Sus scrofa: one gene and its partner. The protein of the gene in region 1 interacts with the protein of each later gene in a pairwise test. Links are inferred from orthologs where the notes say so. Each region holds a gene or a part of one and is shown on either strand. Other genes may lie near its edges.

The links. The genes of interacting proteins can lie anywhere in the genome.
Region 2: the proteins of LEMD3 (region 1) and SMAD1 interact in binary tests that used the Homo sapiens proteins (3 or more experiments, as listed by UniProt). The link is inferred for Sus scrofa from reciprocal best matches to the Homo sapiens genes LEMD3 and SMAD1.

Annotation. Positions count from the first base shown.
Region 1 is NC_010447.5:29,662,194-29,665,842, reverse strand, and holds part of LEMD3 (LEM domain containing 3), read right to left. Parts: coding exon 3,596-3,649; intron 2,931-3,595; coding exon 2,752-2,930; intron 1-2,751.
Region 2 is NC_010450.4:82,921,764-82,925,412, forward strand, and holds part of SMAD1 (mothers against decapentaplegic homolog 1), read right to left. Parts: intron 1,454-3,649; coding exon 1,337-1,453; intron 1-1,336. UniProt on the Homo sapiens protein: Transcriptional modulator that plays a role in various cellular processes, including embryonic development, cell differentiation, and tissue homeostasis.

The sequences.
Region 1 (3,649 bases):
AATCCAACTAGTAACCATGAGGTTGCGGGTTTGATCCCTGGCCTTGCTCAGTAGGTTAAGGATCTGGCGTTGCCGGGAGCTGTGGTGTAGGTTCCAGACAAGGCTCGGATCCCACGTTGCTGTGGCTCTGGTGTAGGCCGGCGTCTATAGCTCCTATTAGACCCCTAGCCTGGGAACCTCCATATGCCATGGGACAAGACCATAGAAAAGGCAAAAAGACGACCCGGAAAAAAAAAAAAAAAAAAGGATAGGTAATGACTTAAGGGTACTTAGGAAGAGAGAGACTGAAAAGATAGATCATGGAAATGAAGATGAATAGGAAAAGAAGTAAAGATAGGAAGAAGGCTAAGGAACTGGAGAAAGGTGCACTGAAAAATCAGAGATTCTGGAGTTCTCAAATACATAAATCAGGAAAGTTGAAAAGATGAGTCTGTGATACAGAACAGAGCATATCAATTAAAGATTTCAGATGTACCAGTGACAGGAAACATCTGGGGTGTGAATGTCTGAACAGTGCTTGATATGGTGTGGAAGAATGATAATTAGACATGAAAAATCTTTGCCAAACCCCAGATCAAGATGGTGTGTGAACCTCTAATAGCTTCCAAATTTCTCTAGTAGCATGCAGGTTCTGTTCTTAGATGACCCATTAGCTTCAAATAATCTGACTTCCTTGAAATTCCAATAATGGCCTGGGCCAGCAGGGGAAGAACCAGAGAAAACAGAAGCATTCATACCACCTTATGCTAGCCTAAACCTGAGTTTCCACAAAATAACAGACCTGGGAGAAACTATTCCTGGCCAATTCTAGTCAGAAAGTAGTCCCAAAGTTCAAACTGATTTTTAAGATATAAGCTTTGTCTTCCTAACTAAACCCTAATTACCACTGCCATATAGAGGTACAGCAGTTACTAAATGATACATTTCAAATGCCTCAGGAACTACCTTTGGGTGCCTTAAGTGAATGCTGTTTATTCCAAACACTATATTGTCAGAAGCATTAAATAAGACTCTGGCTCCCTAGCAGGTATTAATTTTTAACTGGTGTTTTATAATAACTTTAAGAGATGGGAGTTCTCTTGTGGCACAGCATGTTAAGAATCTGGTGTTGTCACTGTAGCGTTTCAGGTTGTTGCTACTGCACAAGTTTGATCCCTGGCCCAGGAGCTTCCATATGCCATAGGTGTGGCCAAAAAATAAATAAATTAATTAAATAACTTGAGAGACACCAATGTTATATTATCACTCATTTCATATTTAATTATTTTTTAGAAATTGAACTAAATATTCGATAAGGTTGATTACTTAACAATTACTTGGGAAACATACTATTAAATGACAACAGTTTGTAGTGGTAGTGAATTCAAAAGACTACTATAATGACCATTCCTCCAGTCATGTACCTTTTAAACCACTGCATTTATAAGGAGAGAAACATTAAGCTTGTTAATAAGCTAAACTATCTTTTCACATAAAAACACCATCACTGACTAGTAGCCTGGAAACTTCCATAGTCTGTACCTGTGACCTCCCCACCCCCCAAAAAAACCCAAACAAACAGTAGATGCCCATTTTTATACAGCACAATATTTGTGCTCAGATATATTTAAATCAAACCAAACCTTTATGTACTATTATTTTTAAAAAGCTAGATCAGTCATTTAGTTACATTTAAATAAACTATATATATTTAATAGCATAAAAACAGATGTAATATTAAAATTGAATTCCTTCTGTAAGATACATAACTAGCATTAAGAAAATCCCAACAACTTCTCATTATCAGCCTCTTGTAATAATTCTTATTATGATGACATTCTTCAAAAAATTCAAATCTTCCTGCTATAAGTCTATAGACTTTCACTTTATCACTACCAACCATCTAAAAATTGAATTGGGATACTTCAAGCAAATAGCTACTAGGTGTTTTATCTCAGGATTTTCTGCCTTCAAGCTGAAATTATCTCAGTAATTACACTTTTTTTTATATTTGTAAAGTAGTAAGTGTCTTAATTTACTCTCCTTCCTTTCTAGGACCATGAACCCTTAATCAGTATAACTGTTTATCAAAGACTGTCAAGTAAACGGAGACTTAAATTTATAATTCTTTACATGGCCCATTTAGAAATATGCAAATTAAGGCAATTCAGTCCTTGACATAAAGTTTATGAACATCTAATACACTGAAACCTGGATGAAACACGAATATAGAAAGTAGCAGGACACTTTAAAAATACTTTATCAATTCATGTTGAATTTTTCTTTAATGAAGTATAGTTAATTTACAATGTTGTACCAGTTTCAAGTATACAGCAAAGTGATTTTATACATACATTTATGTGTGTGTCTGTGTGTACATATTTATTTATATAAATTCTTTTTCAGGTTCTTTTCCCTTATAGGTTTTTACAAAATACTGTGCTATAGAATAGATCCTCTGTTTATCTATTTTATATATAATAGTGCATATAGTTAATCCCAAACTCCTAATTTATCTCTCCCCATATCCCATTATCCCTTTTGGTATTCACAAGTTTTTCTACATCTGAATCTATTTTAGTTTTGTAAACAATTGTATCTTTTTTTAGATTCCACACATAAGTGATATGTTTGTCTTCATCTGACTTACTTAACACTGCTATCTTTTACGGGATGGAATTGGAAGGAAGCTTTCAGTTGTACTATTTTAAACACTTAAGACTTCTATAGTTGAAAAAATTACTTTTGTTGTTGTTGTTTAAAAATACATACCTTGACCCTGCCACACTTTAGAAGGTATTACTAATATTTTGTCACAGGATGCAGAAGGCTGGATCCACCGCCAAACCAGAAAATCTGTACCACCTATTCTTCGTGTCTCTGTGCGAACTCTAGACTCATTAGCAGCAAGGAAGTCAACAGCTCTATCCCAGACTTTCTTCATTTTTTTCCTATCATTTAAAGGAAAGTGACAAATTTACTATCACCTTGGCTTGTCATGCTCTTAAATAATAGTAATTAAAGGTAGTTGTTACTGTTACCTTTAGCTGTTCTTATCACTGCTTACAGAGTTTCTTTCAAAAAGACTTAGATGTCTAAACCTAACCTCAGATTTACTAAATTTGGATCTCCAAAGGTGGGACAATACACTGGAACTTTTTTCCCATAAAAGCTCCACTGGTGATTCTGATGTGTTTCTAGAATAAGAATGCTGCTTTGGGATGTGCCATTATCTTTTATTTTCAAGAAGTAATTGCTTAATTCTTCTATTTAAAAAAGCTTCATTAACAACAAAATGAAGTCTTTTAAACCATTATTAGTAAAACATCACTGCACTGATTATTGTCTGTTTATCAAGATGGAATTAAAGGAAATAAGGTAGAGATTGACAACAAAGAATCAAAAATACATACTTAGAAATCCTGCTATTATGCCACTCAAAATCAGGAAGATTATAGATAAAAATTTAGAAAAGAATTTAAAATACAAAAGTAAAGCCTGTCCAGTGAAAGGGATCTAGTTCAGAAGGGTCACAATTCTCAACAGAATTTTCATGACTGCAGAAGACACTGACATTCTGATTGATTGACTTCAACACATAACGCTTTAAACAGACCTGTCATGAGGCTGTATTAAGGAATCTCGCACATGGGGAATGGGCATGTAAGGC
Region 2 (3,649 bases), on another chromosome or scaffold:
TGGAGGTTATCAGGAACTGTAAAATACAGAGCCAATAAACAAGATATAAGGAATATTTACAGATTAAAAAGGTGTACATTCTTATTTATTACACTATACAGGAAAGGAAGGCTCTTTGAGCTCATCAGTAACTTTTAAGAACTTAAAAAATATGAGCAACTCTGACAAAGTCTGAGCTATCTCCAGACCTTTACTAAAAAAGTGGTAAGAATGAGATAAGATCTACTTAGTTAAATTGCATGTTAACTTCAATTTGCATTAAATGAACCCAGACTGAAAGTCTCTGACACTGCAGAGTGCCCCAGGGAAGCACCTTCCTCCAGGGGAGGTTACCTGGGGACAGTTTCATTTAGCAGGTGGTCAAAGACTTCTCCCAGATGCTCAGGGATCCTCCCAGCACTTTAGCTACCTGGGCTTTCTGTCTGCTTAAGCCTGCTCAAGCTGCCCCTGCAGACCTGGCAGGATGCCAGTGGCCTCCCCTCAGGGATCTTGCGGACCCATCTTTCCCGAGAGGGAAAGAGATAAGCCCTTCACGGTGAGAACACAGAAAATACGTGCCTCTATGCCTTCTTGAAACAAGGCTAGAAACAAGTAAATAGAGCAAAGAACAATTTTTCGCTTGTTTCAGCCACAGCTGTACAGAGATGAGGACTAGAAAATGGATGGGGCTTAGGAGGAACTAAGGAACCTTTTGGAAAGCCTGGTTATACGAAGTTTTCAAGTGGGAAATCACCAGTGAAAACTCTACTTCTGTCTTTGCTCATTTTTTCTCTCAGTATCCCTTTGTCTTTCACTTAAAAAATATTCTTCTATCACCAATTCAAAGTTGTTAAGTATTGAAGCTCTAAACAGATGACTGTACAATTATATCTAGGCTTTCATTAGTTAAAGGCATGTGTCTGTTGTTCATATAAAGGCTTATTTGTAACCCACAGAATGATTCTCTCCATGGAGCTCCTCTTACTGTGCCTGTGTTTCTCAAATAGCTATCTTTTAAAAGACTAATTAAAAACTTATGAAAGTAACACATGGACAGATAAACTTGTTATTTTTGTCCTTTTAGGGATACACCCTCGGCATATGGAAGTTCTCAGGCTTGGGATCAAATCAGAGCTGCAACTGCCAGCCTACACCACAGCCACAGCAATGAGGGTTCTGAGCCCCTTCTGTGACCTACACCACAGCTCACGGCAACACCAGATCCTTAACCTGTTGAGTGCGAGGCCAGTGATTGAATCGTGTACTCATGGATACTAGTCGGGTTCATTATTCTTGAGCCACGACAGGAACTTCCCAGGTAAACTTAAAAAAGGGAGTAAGCAGCAACTCATCTTACCTCCTCTGTTGATTTCTGAGGGCAGTGCAGGTGCCATCATGTTTGTGTCCATGGGCTGGGAGCCATCCTGGGTCATGGGGTCCTCAGGAGGCAGGTAAGCAGGTGGGGGTGTATCAGCTACAAAGTTTGAAGAAAAAAAAAAAAAAAGATGTCTTTATCCACAGTAAACACACACTTAAAACATGTATTCTCTTCCGTGCTGAAATTCTTCAGCAACTAAGTTGCCATTTCAACCTCCCCATCAGAAGATTGGATGCTTCAGATGCTGGCTTTGGTGGACCCTTTGTGGGGATCACTACTATGTCATCATCTTACACAAACGCCCTGAAAATTCCATGGGAGGCAAACACTAGATGCCAGTTCCAGAAGCTCTCTGCCTCCCCAGGGCCGTGCCATTTTATAATGATCAGGAGAGCACTGACACTTTCACACAACCCACTTTGAAAGGACCTCTGCATTTCGTTGTTTCCCTGATGGATGGAAAAATCTCTGAAAGCTACACAGGATTTCTTAAGAAAAGGAGTTTCAGGGTCTCCTGCGTTAAATCTAGGGGCTCTTAGGAATTTACCAACTGAATTTCACTACTGCCAATTGACTCACTCAAACTGTTAATCCCCATGGCTTCAAGAAGCCTGCTAGCACTAACCTTCTCCCTACCCGCTTAGATTCTCACTGGTTTCAAGTTCCCAGTAGCGGAATAATAGGAAATAGAAGATCACAACTATCTTCTATTTCAGAATTTGCGTACATGTTTCTTTTGGAAAGCTCATAGCCAGCTAACAAATAAGAGGCCAACAATGTGCTTCTTTCTTTCCCTTCTTTCTTCCTTTCTCATTTCTTTCTTTCTTTTTCTTTCTTTCTTTTTTTTTTTTTTGGTCTTTTTAGGGCCACACCCGTGGCATGTGGAGGTTCCCAGGCTAGGCGTCTAATCAGAGCCACAGCTGTCGGCTATGCCACAGCCACAGCATCACCAGATCCAAGCCACGTCTTTGACCTACACCACAGCTCACAGCAACGACAGATCCTTAACCCACGAGTGAGGTCACGGATCAAACCCACAACCTCATGGTTCCTAGTCAGATTTGTTTCCGATGCACCACGATGGGAACTCCTCCTTTCTTCCTTCCTTCCGTCTTCCTTCCTTCTTCCTTCCTTCCTTCCTTCCTTCCTTCCTTCCTTCCTTTCCTTCTTTCTTTCCTCTCTCTCTCTTTCTTTTTCTTAATGGCTGCGCTCACAGCAGATGGAAGTTGCTGGGCTAGTGGGTGGAATCAGAGCTGCAGCTGCTGGTCTACACCACAGCCAAAGCAACATCAGATCCTTAACCCACTGAGCAAGGCCAGGGAATTGAACCTGAGTCTTCATGGATCTTAGTCGGGTTCTTTAACCGCAGAACCACAGCAGGAACTCCAACACTGAGATTTTTGAAACAGAACATGGGCACAAGTCTTGTGCTTTCTTAAATAAAATCAAGGGTGTGGCTTTCCCACAAACAAGCCTGTGTGATGGAAAAACGAGTTCCCCACGGGCTACAGTGAGCCCACTTAGGACCCCAGCACAGATGACAGCCAGAAACAAAGTATCAGGCCAAGGAAGCACCAAGAGCTTGGCTCTCAGGCCAACCATCGCATACTAAAAGCTAATGCTGCTCTTTTCAGTTTCTCAGCCATTTCCCAGACTGACTCTCACAGAGTCCCAGTTCCATGGTCCAGGTGCTAACAAGCCAGGCCTCAGGGCACAAAGGCAGACCATGGGGACCCCATCAGGATACCTTTTCTACCCTTTCTCCAGCTTTTTAACCAGCGTGCTTCCCTGCAGCTGCAACCCTGCCTCTGCTTTCCTTCCAGCCAGGCAGGGAGACAAAGAGCCTCCCTTGAGACCAAGTTCAACACGTTTCTGCAAACAAGCTGGTGAAAATTTCATCAACAGCCTACAGCATCAGCATCACTGGGAGGGGCTGGACACTGTGGGTGGGGCTCTGGTGTCCTCACGAGGCCCTCCTGGCACCCCTGCAGCTTTCTCCTTATTTCCGCTACTTGGCCTGGGCCCTAATCCCCGACAGCCGGGGAACAAAGTGTAAATTCTGGCAATAATCTTCAATTTGTTTCACTCTTGAGCCCACCCTGGGTCTGCCACTGCTCCAAACCTTCCAAAACCGTCTCCCTGCCACCAACCTGTTCATCAAACCCAACGGGTGCGGAAGGGAGTCGGGCAGAGGAAACCAGCAAATGATACTAGTTTGGTTTTTAAACTAATCTCTCTCCCATCTCGTCTTAAACAGTTTTCAGTTGAAAAAAATAAACAGAACAAGGCAAA